Caenorhabditis elegans: one gene and its partner. The protein of the gene in region 1 purifies or fractionates together with the protein of each later gene. This does not show direct contact. Each region holds a gene or a part of one and is shown on either strand. Other genes may lie near its edges.

Region 1 (7,941 bases):
AAAAAATTCCGATTTCCCCAACCAGAAAAAAAAACAGATAGAAGAAATTTCTCCTTAAATTTCATTGTCCATCTCTCTTGGAAACACATTATCTATCAAATGAAAAACGCATTTTTTTTCCTGGCAGAAAAATGAAATTGGTTAGATTACACTGGTTAGGTTTGAAGGTGTAACTTTCGCTTTCTCAGCAACTTTCAGTATAAAAGGAAACGGTCACCATTTAGAAAGACATCAGTTCATCAACATGGGCAAGCTCATTGTGGTTGGATCCTGCGGAGTACTTGTGTGCGTTCTTGCCTCGCTTTACACCATCGGAAACCTTCTCAATGAGATCGAGGAGCTTCAAGTTGAGTTCCAGGATGGTATGGTTGAATTTAGAGTAAGTTTTACATAAAGGAAGTTAGTGTTGTTATCAATTCACTTTGTGTTCAGGCTATCACCCAAGACACCTGGGCTCGTATGGTGAGCAAGCACATCAACCCAACCGGACACACAAATGCTCCACCAACCTTTGAGACTCTCTTCGGAGCCCGTACCGCTCGTCAAGCTGGATTCGAGCAATGTAACTGCGGACCAAAATCCGAGGGTTGCCCAGCTGGACCACCAGGACCACCAGGAGAGGGTGGACAGAAGGGAAATCCAGGACACGATGGAGACGATGGAAAGCCAGGAGCTCCTGGAGTTATTGTTGCCATCACCCACGATATTCCAGGAGGATGCATCAAGTGCCCACCAGGACGTCCAGGACCAAAAGGACCATCAGGACTTCCAGGATCTGCTGGACCAGCCGGAGGAAACGGAAGACGCGGACCACCAGGACCAGTTGGAGGACCAGGAGAGCAAGGACCACAGGGAGATGCAGGAAGACCAGGAGCCGCCGGACGTCCAGGACCAGCAGGACCACGTGGAGAACCAGGAACCGAGTACAAGCCAGGACAGCCAGGACGTCCAGGACCACAAGGACCACGCGGAGAAACCGGACCAGCCGGAAATCCAGGAGCACCAGGAAACGATGGAGAGGCTGGAAAGAACGGAAACGCCGGAAGACCAGGACCACCAGGGCATCCAGGAAAGAATGGAGTTCCAGGACAAAAGGGAGAGGATGCCGCACCAGGACCAGATGCTGGATATTGTCCATGCCCATCTCGTGCAGCTTACAAGGCTTAATTCTGCCTTTCTCTGTCTTTTTTATAAATTTTCGAACATTCCAAATTGTGTTCTGTTTCTGCACTTTTTTTTAAATTGCAATTTCACATGCAAATCAAAATACTTCAGCTTTTCAAATCTGGCAAATTTCTTTTTTTTTTTAATTTGGAACACTTTTTAAAAACCAACTCTAAAAACCAACTACTAGAATTATTTACCAAAATAGAAAATTATACCAAGATTGTCCTTCGAAATATAGTCCAGTTAAAAAAATTTTTTTGCCGGGCAGCCCCAGTCCACCTGAAAATAAAGCCACCTACGTACCGTTTCATTATACAGAATTCCTCCATTTTCACAAAACCTTGCTGGCGTCGTCGAAACGTGCACGGAAGGTGTTGTGAATGTAATTTCACTTAGGTCACAGCTAAAGTCGTAGATTCTCTGGAACCTGTTTCCATCACTATCGTATCCTAGAAACCGACAATGAGAGAAGGGAGAAAATAGAAAGGAGAAATACCTCTGAACTTGGCATGATACAAGTTTTGAGACGTACAGTTATAAGATTGTTGAGTGATATGAGGGGTACTGCAGCCGTATCTGAAAAATGGTTTTTCTGCCAAAGCAATTATGTTCATGATTCATCTTTGTTAAATCTAAATGTTCAGGCTTTATTTTTGAATTAAAAAATGCTTCTGCAATATAAACATGTATTTTTTTCAACAGAAAAAAGTTTACTTTCCTTCAATTTTTTTGGATCATCCAAAATTGAATAATGTAGAAAAATTGATTCTATTGAATAATGTAGAAAAAAATTACTCAATTCCAAATTTTTATCACTCTCAAACATTCACCTCAAGTTCAAATCCATTTTCTGATCGAATAGGCCGTTTACATAAAGATGCACCTCATCGGGATGAATTGGAAATTCTTCACTCTCGACTTTAAATGCTAAAAATGCTGCCTGATTTTCAAGTGGGAAACGGAATATTCCTTGATTTGCAGTGGAAAATATTACTTTCTGAACGTCATCGTCACGAACATCCTCTACAAACCCACCATCAACTGTCAGCTTTGTTGGAGCTCGGACTTCAAATATACACGGTCTGAATGATTTTATTTTTAAATGAGATAAGATTTCAAGAGTCTTTTTTTGATTTTTTTTTCACAATTTGGGTCATCTTGTTTTAATTGTGTGCTCACTTGTTCAAATCTGCAGAGAGCTGAACCGTATACGCTCCAGTTCCGTGAACATTCTTTCCGTTGCAGATAAGGTGAATTGTTTGAGTGACGTCCGTGGTGATATCTTTGCATGTGGACACTTCGCCTCCAATCGGATTATAAACTGTTGCCCGCGGATTGAGGGCGTCGAGTGTATTGATAATTACAAAGAACTCTTCGATAAAATTGTCGACGTAAAAAGTGAAAGTGTCGGAGCAAGTCGCACTGAAGATATGTGTATGTATTATGAAACATGTTATTAATCTGGTATTGGTTCTCGAATAACGTAATGAAAATCCAGATAGAGTTTTAGATTATTATTAAATCGCAAATAGAAACCGGAAAAATGAAAAATGGCAATTTTACTATCAACAACAAGTTTCACGTTTTTGACAATTTTCGAGTATTTTTTTTCGAGTACTTTAAAACACGCCTATGGTACCAAAATAACCGAATATCATGATTAAAAAATTCAAAAAAAATTTCTAAATTTTATATGATTTTTTGAAAATTGAAAAAAATCTCAGTTTTTGCCTAATTCCGATTTGAATTTCCGCCTATTGAAGTTGTTCGATGGAGCGCACTTGCACGTTTTAATTTTAATTTATTGTTATTTTGAAAGAAAATGCATGCATTTAAACGATTTCGAACTTGAATTTACAGATTTCACAGACTCACGCTTGTGAATTAGCTTTTTAATCAAAAATTAGCATTTATTTTGACTTTTTCGTCAAATTTCAGACAAAACTACATTGAAAACATGGAAAATTGGTGAAAAATATGACAAAATAACAATAAATTAAAATTAAAACGTGCAAGTGCGCTCCATCGAACAAATCCAATTGGCGTAAACTCAAATCGGAATTAGGCAAAAACTGAGATTTTTTCAATTTTCAAATTTTAAAATTAGAAAAAATTTTTGCATTTTTTTATCATGATATTCGGTCATTTTGGTACCATAGGCGTGTTTTAAAGAAATTTCCCCACTGGCGCCACTCCACCTTTAACTAGAATTAACATTTTCCAGATTCTATTCCTAAATTTTAATGAAAACACTGAGTGAAAATGTCCCACAGGCTCAATTTTTAGAACTGCTGGTTAGCAATCTCCGAGCACTCCACGATTTTCTACAATATTCCCTACTAAAAATGTATACCTGAAATCACTCTCCACTAAATCACCAAATTTTGCAGTACCGTCATGAGGCAGTATATCAATTGACTTATTGTAGCATGTCACTGGAGAGGTTTGATCCAACAGTTTCGGTCTTGAAGAGAAGGTAGGTTGAACCCGTTGAGAAGGTTCCGATAGATTTAGTGCAACAAGTTGTTTGAGTTTCGAATTCACTGAAATTTAATCCCTCTGGCTAAAACTGGTCAAAAAACGTTTTCTGTAAAGATTTGAAGAGGTTCTATTAAATGTGTTGGCTTGGCCTAGCCAGAAAGAGAATCCACTGGCGTTTCCACCAAATTCACTCTTGAAAAAATTGTTCTTAGTTGGTTATTTAATTCATCAAATAAAAATTCCCGCTAGAAGCACAAAAGTGAGCTCAATACCTTTCGTGTAGTTGTGACTCGGACCAGAACTTATGATGTAAACATTTTTAAGTAAGCCTGCTGTGTTTTTTCAATATGTCAAACTTTTGCCAATATTTTCAATTTTACGTGTTTTTTACTTAAACTTACAGCTTTTCGTTAGTTCGCCGTGTTGACTTTTATTGGGAATACTTACTCCACTACAGACCCGCAGTAGTAGAATACTTGTAATTACAAATTTGAGCATTTTACTGAAAAATCGTCTTTATTTAGAAGATATTTCTTAATGTAATAATTAAATAAAACTAAATAAAATTGTTATCAGGTTTTTTTTGTTTGAAAAAGTTAGTTTATCCAATTGAGGCTCTTAAATTAGTTGTCACTGATAATGCGATTATACTCTTCCATTGGCAAGTTGTTCTCATCTAGAATTCGAATAGAGCAGAGGTTGATGTGTTGTGAAAATTCAGTTTAAAATGTTTACATTTCAGGAACTTCTGGAAAAGACAGTGGGAAACAGAAATAAAAATGGTTAAGCGTTCCACTTTGCTTCCAGCTGTTGTTTTTACAGTCGAGAACTTGCAGGTTTTTTGTTACTTACAAGTTTTTTTATTAATCAAACAATTTTTCATGTGATTTATTCAAGTGAGTTATGTTTTAACAGTTGTATTACACTGGCAACGTTCTATAAAGCTTTATAAATTTTTTAAACCACCAATGAAACTTTGTTTTCACTTTAAAAAATGTTTATTTATGCTATTTATAGGATTATTGCAAAGTTTCCGCAAAAGTATAAATAAAACTGCTTTAAAAAGATTTTGAGGCAATTGTTAAGACGTTTTAGGCTGAACAAAAATTCTGAAATATTTAAAAAAAAAAATTTATTAAATTGTTTTGCCTATTTTTAGACTTTATTAAAAGCATTACAAAATTGCAAACTTCCTCATTTGTAATAGTTGCAAACGTTACAAAAGCAGTGAAAACGTGCTCGGAGAATATCAAATCGACTTCTTTATATTCCATTGTTATTTTTTGATGAAAACCCGCTTTAAGTTCTTATAAATTCAATTTGAAAGTCTGAAAGTGAGTTAAATTACTTTCCTAGTGAGTATAACTGGACTGCATGTTGAAGTGGACGACCTCTTCCAAGGCAAACCTACAACGTGTACGTCCTTGCAAGATTTGACTGACAATCCAAGTTTATGGAAAACTTCTTTTCTTTTCAGTTCTGCAATATTTCGAAAATTCGAATAAATTATCCAGCTTTGAAATAATAATTGTTTTTTTTAGTCGAAACTTAGATTGCACCTGACAAGTTGTTAGCGGAAGGAAGTAACTTCAGTGCCAGATTTTAGAACGAGTTTTCACCAACCAAGTTTTTTGTCGCTCTAGATAGTGTTCTGAATATTTTTTTACAAAAAATTTGAAAAGGAAAACTCAACTCGTACCCCTGACATTTTTCTCAGACATTTTTTTTGGTGCACGCGTGAAATGGCTCAAAACTTTATTGTTAAAATAGGGAGCTTTTTTCTCCAAAAATAGCTTTTTAAAAGTTATAATTTCTTGAAAAGTCTGAAAATTTTCTCCTACAATCATGTCTGTTTTTATTTTTGTGTGCCAATTTTTTAAATAAAAAATTGACCATTTTTTGTAAAATTTTTTTTCTGAAAAAAAAAACTTTATTTCTCAAAACATTCAAATAAAAAGAAATAAACGTGGTTGTATGTCAAAATTCTGAATAAAAGTTTTTGGCATATAAAGGGCTGAAGCACAACTGAAAAGCAGAGAAAAGTTTAAATTTGACAAAAAAAATTGAGAAAACGGTGGGCAAGATTGATATTGGAAGTGGTAGACATAAAATTAAGATGAATAATATTGGAAAGTAGTGTGACGGTAAGAAGGGAAACATTGAAAAACCATTAAAACTATGTGATCTGTGGAACATTGAAAGAGACAAAGAAAGCGATGGGAAATTGTTGATTGAAAGAAAGAAGGAAATTAAAGCCGGCTTAATTTCCCATCAAGGTTAAACAAGACAAGAAGCGACTAGAAGTTTTGCAGAACGAAAGATGCGTCGAGATATACAGCTAGCGATTAGGTGTAGCTTACAGACAAAAATCACAGCTGGAATGAAAAATGAAGTAGTGATTTTGCTCTTCGTTGAAGAGAAATTGTGGGGCACTGAAGATCAGGAATTCAAGGGGTACACCAGTATGACGGTTAAAGAAGGAACTATTGATGTGAAAAACTTAATGTTCTTTCGAAATTAAAGATAATAAGATTTTGAAAAAAGTTGGAAATTTTAATTTTATACGAAAACCTTCTGCTCAAGCTTTTCCTGCATTCCATTCAACAATCGCTTGCATTTTGCACGTCGATTTTTGAACCAGATCTGCAATTCGAATTCGATAACTAGTAATCAGTATTAATATAGAATATTACCTTCACATTGTGCTGACTAATATGCGGATAATTCTCTCGATAAGCGCAGTTGTTCAAGCATTGTGTGTACTGATCGATTTGCATCCATGTCGGGTGAGGATTCTCTTCGAACCATTTTTCGAGGACGGGTAGCTCGGTGAGTGGGTCGAACATCAGGCGTGAGCGAGCCGCTGAAAACACTAAAACGGAGATTATTTGCTTTATCGTTGAATTTTTTCAAACGTTCCGCGTCAGTGATTTTATCGAAAAATAGAAGTAAAATTCCACCTTAAAGTTTTCTTGTCGAAAAGATAGAGAATTTTTATGCAGTCATTTTTCATATGCATAGCAAACGCAATCTAAGAGCGTTTTAGAGATAGCAACCAATATAGGTTTTCAGACTGAGTATCATGAACATGGCCACCTTCTCGATAAGTTTGAGCCAGTACAAAATCCCTAGAATATTTCTCAAAATCAAGTTTGCAGTTGATTTTCTGTTTTATTTCTGTAAACACAATACCTAGCCTCATTTTTTTTTCCTCAGATCTCAGTGATCGTAATGGTTGTCTGTGCGAAATTCGACGCCCCACATTTCTCCCTTTGTTATGTGTCTTCGCGCACTTTGTGTATGTCTATGTGTGTTTGTGTGTGTGTGCTCGCTTCTAATTTATGAGTTCTTGGTTCAACCCATCTCCCTCTCTTTTCCGTTAGCCTGTCTGTTTTAAAGCTCTTTGTTGTACCTGATGAGTTGGCGTTTTGCATGGAGTTGGTGGATGATGAGTGGGTGCTGAATGCTCCGAGGTCGAGCCCGCTGAGAAGCTTTGGGGAGGTCGAGGACAATGATTCGCGCATTGAGTTTGCCATATCCGGGGAGGATGCAATTGAATCCTGTAGGAAATGTTGCTTGTTTTGGGATGAATAATTTTTAAAGGTGGACCATAATTGTGTCGAAAAATATTTTTAATTGGCGCTCAGCCGACGCTGACAGTTTGGAATAAATTCAGATTTTCGGCCGTAGTGTTAGGTCTTTATAACCTTATCGGTAATATTTAGCAATTTGGGAGATGTTATCTTTAATGTGAATCAGAATCGAAATAGCCGAAAATCCGTTTTTAGCGTGATTTTTCAAAGCTTTTCAGCACGAGCAACGCTAATCAACCTAACTATGGCACAAACAGTCAAACGTAACTTACAATTTCCGGTTCTGGTTTAATATTGATGGAAAACAAAGTATCTTGAATAGTTTCATCTGAATTGCTATGAATCTCATCATCGGCTGGAGATGGCGAGTCGGAGCCGCCGACAATCTTGGTTTCATCCAGTTTGTCGTAAAAATCAAATTTTTGACGTTGTTCTCCAAACAGGGACTGGAGCAAGTTGAGTTGGAATCCCGGGAGCAGCTGCGCCGCTGTCTGAGCTGACGAGACCTGCACTAGGTCTACTGGAGCTAAGGTACGGGAACTCGAGCGTTTTTGTGTGAACCAATTGCAAATCTGGAAATTCATTTGATTAATGGAGTAATATGTAGGCGCATTAAATTCACCTGTTGATAGCTGATCTTGGAATTGTTCTTTCTGAACGGACTCTGATTGAGCTGGCTTAAGTAATTGTTCATTTTTTG
Region 2 (6,948 bases), about 15 Mb from region 1:
TTTCTTACGAGACTTACGAGAGTGAAGCACTTTTCACATCACAATTTTCAGAATAATACTGATCATCGTTGTCGTATTCTGTTGTGACACATGTATTCATCAAAAAGTCGCATATTTTTCTCGCATCAAGAAAAATGCAAAAATGCAGCAGTCCGTATCGGGACAGTCGATGCTCACTCAGTCATCATCTGCGGATGCAACAACTTACGAGAATTTTCAGCTGAGTGTAAGTTTACGAAATTTTACAATGCAAACTATCTAAAACATATATTATTTTTTTAGGTTACATCAGCCTCAGAACACCCTCTTCTTTGATTGTGTATAGTATCACAAAATAATTCTCACTTTGAAACGGGTATTTTCTTTTGATGTATTTTCAATTTGTAAATTACGAATAAAATCCATGCCATTATTACATTCACTTTATTTACAAAACATGTACATTTCCCCTATAATTCAACGGGAATATCAAAATTGTTTAGCTCGGGGGCTGAAGAATCAAAGTGTGAGAATGTCAGAGACCAGTAGATGCTTTAAATTCAATTTACAAATATGACGAGTTGGAGAAATTGCAGTCGTTGGCCATGGAAAAGTATAGGCTGTGCTTGTCGGATCGCAAGTCAGCATACATTCGGTGTGTCATGGGGATTGTTGTGGTTGACGGGCAGCTGTGCTTCCAGTTGAAGATGTACTCTTTTCTGGAAAAAAGCAGCGAATTATCTATGATTCAGGATCAAGGATTATAGTGCTCATTACCTGTGCCCATTAATCAGTTGCTGCTCCGTGAGCTCATCAAGTTTTCCAATTACAGCTATAGCTCTTCCAATCGGATCCTGTGGCTTGATGACAAACGTCGGCTCCTCATCAGTAGAATTATCCCAAAGGTTATGTACAGCAATGTTCACCAATTGTTTGATTGCGCTTTGAACATCAGTTTCCGATGGATATGGCGGGTGCATTTTTTCTCTCTGAAGATTTAACTTATAAAAGAAATCAAATGAAAACCCAAAAAATTCCAAACTCACAGCATTTTCGAAAAGTTGCATCAAGTGGACCTTCATGTTATGAATCATTTCGATCTGGCTACAGTACTTGGAAATTTCATTGTAATCCATTGGAGTGTTGTTGAGCGTCGCGTTTGCTAGAATTTTGGCTGTCTTGGTCCGCTGCTTTTGTTTCTCCTCAGACACGCCATAGCTGCTCTCGATTTCTGTGAGGCGTTCTAACGTGGCTGCAAACACGGTTGGCTTCATCCATTCGCGAACTTGATCGAGAGTTGCGTTGTTGAATATTTCGAGTATCTGAAAAAATAAACGATGTCCATTGAACCGAAATTATCTACCCGAAGGTAGAAGACAAAATATTTACTCTGATAAGAAATATACCTTCCGGCCGCATAAGTACTGTAAAATAGACACCTACACCGTATAAACGAACGATTGCAAAAAAATGCGTCAGACAAAAACTTAAATTTCAAGTTCAGTTCTCAAGAATTCCAAAGTTTTACACAAACCTCTTCTGCAATTTTTGTGTCATTGAAAATCCTTGCTTGATTGGCCACCGGAATCGGTAGTGCAGCTTCCCAGCTTCTCACCCACACATTATTAGAAATCAACATTCTCTCTGAGATTGTATTTGTTTTCTCATCATAATCTTTTGGCGAATGCCATCTCAGAAAGTCAGCAAAAACAGCTCCAGCATTTGCAGCCTTGAAGCTTTGCATATCACTTTTCACAAGTTCCATTTGCAGGTGCACGCGATCTTCCTCGTCAAGACTGAACAGGTGCTCATTTCGAGCATCTATCATCTCATCAGTGAGTGGGCAAGCATCTTGTGTGACTGGAATATACATGGGCACGTCTGGAATCTCGACAAGGTTCAGTCCAAATAGTTTGAGGCGTCCTTCGTTGTTCGGTTCAAGAATTGTTTCAGCATTGAAACTTTCATTCGCGTCAAAGAATTCATCTGAAACTAGATTTCTAACTTTTGCACTAGTGGTGTCTGAAACTTACCAGAATTATTGGCACTATGAGCAGAGTCAAGCATTCTGTGGCGCTTCTGGCGAGCATCAATGCATAACTGGAGCATTTGCATTTTCTGTGAAAATGAGCATTGCAAGTGATCAATTCCGTTGTAGACTTTTCTGAAAAACATTGCTAATTACCATTTTTACAACTGAACCTTGCTTACTCGACAGTTTCCATTTTCTCGTACTTCTCGCGAAGTTTCAGCAGAAACTCAACCCATAACTGCGGCTCGGCACGTGGTTGATCACTCATAAAAACTCTCGCATTTGCCAAGGCAATTGCCAATCTCCATGTAACAGTTGACTTCTTTGCACACTTGTACGGAGCAAGGAAGGTGTTCGCTGATTTGGGATTCTTATAATTGAAAAGAGTATCCAACTTGACGTTGTTCACCAGCTCGTCATCTGACAATTGGTTCTCCGACATACTAGCAGCATTCAACATATTGAGCTCGTGAGCCAAGGACTCGTTGTCGGACTCCGCTTCGTTGAAGATGAAGTTGACCCAAGATTTCATCAGAGCCTGAAAATGAATAGGATAATTACGTTTACCACTAGAAAATTTTGTCGTTTAACTAACCGGCGGCATTGGTCCATTGGTTCCACTATCCTCCGTCTCTGCATGCTTCCCAATTTTCACCTCAGACGCTGAGTTGATAGTGAGCTTTTGGAATGCATTTGGAAGCTCTTTTTGTGTGTAGTGTTTCCCAAGAATCAGTGCACAATTAAGGTCGCTACGGATTGCTTTTCTGGTGTCTTCTCGGTAGACGCCAAGAATTTCATCTAAAAAATATTGTTAGTTCACAATTAATCAGATAAGTGTAGCTCACCAAGTACTCCCAGCAATGAACTTTTAGTCGACTTCATTTTGATATTCCAATACGAAGAATAGTTGATATCAAAATCTGAATGACTATGGTTCTCAGTCAATGAGTTTTCACGGAAGAAACGCCACGTGGCAGCAATTTCAAGTATATCGCTGAAATTTTAATTGTTTTTTTTTTCAGTTTGAAAGTTTGAGTTCGAGTTCTTACAACGGCAAACTTGATGTTGGTCCAGTCGCGAGAAGACCAAAAGTTTCGACAGTATGATTCCGGAAATACTTACTTTGTTTCAACTGAAAATTATACATTACAATTTTAAGAAAATGAGCCAACGCTTCCTACCGGAACAACATGTGTGAATCTAGAGCTCATGCGAACTTCCTCATGAAACGCCGAGATGCTAGCTCCAAGATGCTCTTTGAACAAGTAAAGCAGATCGGTCATACTGCAGTGTCTTCGGTTAATGTTTCGGAGAACAACGGACTGCAAATATTTTGTTGTGATAGGCATTTTTAAATAAAAAAAGCTATATTCATAAATAAAAACTCACCGAAAAGTTATACGTAGAATTTCCATCCGACGCGTACCCAGAAATCATGTCCAAGCTTTGGTCCTTGATGTAGCAGAACACTGGGACCTCACTGGAATTTAAAAACCAAATTAATAACAAATCACAGTTTCACATACCATCTACTTGAGTGCAATATTGTTTTGATATTTCCCATAACGGTGTTCACTTGATTCTCGTCGGTGAATGTACCAGAGCTGTCATTTGGAGAGATGATAATGCATTCGCGAATGCCAAACTGAAATTTTAAAGTTTAATTGTTCATTTCGATTTTCAAAACACTAACCTTTAGCAAAAAGCTATCGGTGACTTCGAATCCATGCTTGAGGTTGGCAACTTCCTCGGCAACAGTGAATGGAATAACGTGGGCGTCTTCTTCAATCTCATCTTTTGGAGCTTCCACAAACTCCACGTCATTTGAAGGATTCGATGAAGCTGGCTGAAAAACTTTTTTGCATTTTATAATTTTTATATTTAGTTTATATAGTTTCTTGTTCATTTTGCAAAAAACTCACAACTGGCTGCAATAACTCGATTCTTAGCTTGTTCTCTCCAATCGAAATCATATTTGTGTCCGTCACAATCAACCGGTACTTCACATCATTCTGAACATAAATTTTTACTGATTAATGTTTGAAAAAAACAAAAACTCAAAAAACTCACCGATAAACACGGTCGGCGACTGGAAAACTCGTATTTCTGAAGAATTCCTTCAAATGCTGCACCGAAGTGCTCCATATCGGTGACAATTGTGAAGTCATTTATCTCGAAAACTGTGTTTTCCTCGATTTCCGCCATTGGAACGACAGGAAATGAAGGTTTGGCACTGCAAAATGAGAATGGTCTCGTGAGACGATAGACGTTCAATAGAGCGCAATTGCATTGTGACGTCAGCACGTAAACAAAAGAAGGGGGAAGGACGGATGGGCCTGAGAGGTGTGAGGTGGTTTATATCGATTTTTCGGTTGCTTTCATAAGGAAAAAAAAACAGAAATCGTTTATTAAGAAAAAGTCTATGTATGAAAAACTTCAAAAATTACCAAGCTGTGTTTGCTGCTGAACTGTTGAAAATTTGGACACATCTAGGAAAAAAAAGTGTTTTGACCAAAGTTTCGAGTACTTTGTTATTTGTTTTCGTGCTTGTTTTGCAAAAATCCGATACATTTTTTTCTAGAAAACATTCCATCAAGGGTTGTAATCAGAGTACCGACTGTTTTTATTTTTGACAAAAGTCAAAAATACTGATGACCTAAATTAAAATGTGAACATGAATTTTAAAAAAAACTAATTTTTGAAAGCGAACATGTTTGGAAAATCTAACTTTGTTTTATGAAATAAAATCACGGTAAATTAAAAACTAAGTAATTTGAACTTAAATGCACCCTTTTTGCAGTCCATTCTACTCAAAAAAAAACTTTCCCAAAAAAAAAAAATATGTCTGTTGATCCGAGTATATCGTTGGTTCAATTACCCAATTTGAAGTCGCGTAAAATTTCGAGCAAAATCTGCAGCTTTTAAACAAGTTTATTGTAAATAAAATGAAAATATTTACCCATGTGGAGTACACGCGCTTTTCCACGCGGTGTACGGCAAGCGATTATCAATGGAGCGCGAAAGCCGCAAGGGGAGTCCAGAAGCCCGTATTGCAGGTAAGCTTATGGTCTGTTGCCACGTGACACTTAAGTTTTGATTGCCGAAAATAAATTCACATTTTTAATGCAATATTAAATTTCAGCCAAAGGAAAGCTCTCTCATCAAATCAGAGAAAATTCTACGTCGATCTGAAGGAAAATGATCGTGGTCGCTTTTTGCGCATTGCTCCGATGAACCCACGTCAAACTCGCCAACAAATCGCCATTCCATCCGATGGAATCGCCGAAATTCATAAGGTGCTAACCGAATATTTGGCCAAGTTCGGAGAGGGACACGAACAGGAGAACACCAACACTCCAAAAATCACTGCTGAAAACAGAACGTTCCTTTTCCATTCCGGAAAGAACGATCGTGGAGAGTTTGTTCGCATCTCGGAGGAAATAATTTTGTGTCAAATAGAAGTTTATTCTAATTTTATATTCAGATCAAACTCAACAGCGGCTATCGTAACGCAATCACCGTTCCAATGTCCGCACTCGTCGATTTCCGCAAAGAGTTGGATAACATCATCGCCAACCAAGGAAAGTAGTGATCTACATGTTTTCTCTGCAAAAAAACAATCGTAATTGCATAACATCTTTCGAACTCGATAGTCTCCCAAAAAATTCCTCCAAATCTTTACTGCATTTGCTTGTAAAGATTTTACCTATTTTTCTAAACTGCTGTGTTCCTGTATTTTCACTCTACCTGTTTCGTTTATTTATTTATTTAAGCATCAAGTTTATTGATCTCTAATAAATTCTCGGGAAATTCGTGTCTTAATTATTAATATTATAGTTATTCTTGCCAGGGAAAGTTACGTTTCCTTATCAAACACCTGTTGCGAAACCAGAAAAGGGCGGGTCTGACTAAGTGAACAAATATTTCGTAATAACTTTCTTCCAACAGAAATTAAAACACGCAAAAAACGGCCAACTCACTAGCTGGAACGTGGAGCCCCATGATAACTCCATGATAAAATAACTCTGATTGTCGACATAGCTTCAAGAATATCGTATTCTGCATTTTCAAAAAGTATTTTTCGTTCAAAATGGGCTTATTCTTCTCTAAAATTTCTTCCTTCATGTTTCCAAATATCGAATGTCGTACATTGATGCTCGGTTGAGATGGAGCCGGAAAAACGACTATTCTCTATAAGCTGAAGCTTAATAAGACAGTCAATACAATTCCAACCATTGGTTTGTTCACTTTTTAAGTGTTTTCATACTTGAGTATTTGTTTGAAGGATTCAACGTGGAGACTGTTACCTTCCAAAAACTCACTCTCATTGTTTGGGATGTTGGAGGTCAGATACTAAAACACTACTTTCCAAATACCACAGTAATTATCAAGAGGAATTATACAACAAAAATTGTTTAATTTCAGATATTAGTGTTTGTGGTGGACAGTTCGGATATTGAGCGGATTCCCGAGGCAAAGGAAAAATTGTTCAGTTTGCTCGCCGAGCCAGAGCTTGCGGATTCTCATCTGCTTGTCTTTGCAAACAAGCAGGATATGCCGAATGCAAGATCACCAGCCGAGCTGACTCAGCTGCTTGATTTGGGTTCACTCAAGAATAGAGAGGTAAATAGTTGTATTGTTTTGTAGACCTCATAATCTATAGGATATATATACCTAAAAGGAATGCCAAAATCTTGTGACATTATGATAATACAATTGGCTTTTCAGTGGTTCATCTGTGGTACAAACACTCACTCTGGACAAGGTCTCTACGAAGGTCTGATGTGGGTCAAGAAGCAGATGAAGACATAAGGATTGCTAAATGATTTCATTTCTTTACATAAGAAATTGAATAAAATATTGGAAAATGTTATTCATAACTGAATTCTTGTGGAAGTTTGAATTAAGGAAAAGATAATTAGAGTTAAATAATTAAT

The links.
Region 2: the proteins of hrg-11.4 (region 1) and rbg-1 fractionate together in Caenorhabditis elegans (co-fractionation; one large-scale study listed by BioGRID). This does not show direct contact.

Annotation. Positions count from the first base shown.
Region 1 is NC_003284.9:421,480-429,420, forward strand, and holds the start of hrg-11.4 (VWFA domain-containing protein), read right to left. Parts: upstream 4,157-7,941; 5' UTR 4,147-4,156; coding exon 4,050-4,146; intron 3,711-4,049; coding exon 3,521-3,710; intron 2,590-3,520; coding exon 2,347-2,589; intron 2,250-2,346; coding exon 1,998-2,249; intron 1,744-1,997; coding exon 1,664-1,743; intron 1,617-1,663; coding exon 1,471-1,616; intron 1,213-1,470; exon of another isoform or gene 1,168-1,212; coding exon of another isoform or gene 433-1,167; intron 380-432; coding exon of another isoform or gene 245-379; exon of another isoform or gene 228-244; intron 1-227. Other genes in the region: col-19 (Cuticle collagen 19), read left to right, coding at 245-379, 433-1,167; Homeobox protein dve-1, read right to left, coding at 6,208-6,291, 6,342-6,520, 7,061-7,208, 7,514-7,813, 7,864-7,941.
Region 2 is NC_003284.9:14,980,829-14,987,776, reverse strand, and holds rbg-1 (Rab3 GTPase-activating protein catalytic subunit), read right to left. Parts: upstream 4,245-6,948; 5' UTR 4,217-4,244; coding exon 4,082-4,216; intron 4,024-4,081; coding exon 3,934-4,023; intron 3,858-3,933; coding exon 3,705-3,857; intron 3,657-3,704; coding exon 3,538-3,656; intron 3,492-3,537; coding exon 3,401-3,491; intron 3,334-3,400; coding exon 3,193-3,333; intron 3,144-3,192; coding exon 3,061-3,143; intron 3,006-3,060; coding exon 2,857-3,005; intron 2,810-2,856; coding exon 2,607-2,809; intron 2,550-2,606; coding exon 2,191-2,549; intron 2,144-2,190; coding exon 2,013-2,143; intron 1,966-2,012; coding exon 1,514-1,965; intron 1,302-1,513; coding exon 1,026-1,301; intron 969-1,025; coding exon 757-968; intron 699-756; coding exon 545-698; 3' UTR 412-544; downstream 1-411. Other genes in the region: iglr-1 (Ig-like domain-containing protein), read left to right, coding at 52-226, 283-315; plp-2 (DUF3467 domain-containing protein), read left to right, coding at 4,973-5,067, 5,154-5,637. UniProt on the Caenorhabditis elegans protein: Probable catalytic subunit of a GTPase activating protein that has specificity for Rab3 subfamily. Rab3 proteins are involved in regulated exocytosis of neurotransmitters and hormones. Specifically converts active Rab3-GTP to the inactive form Rab3-GDP.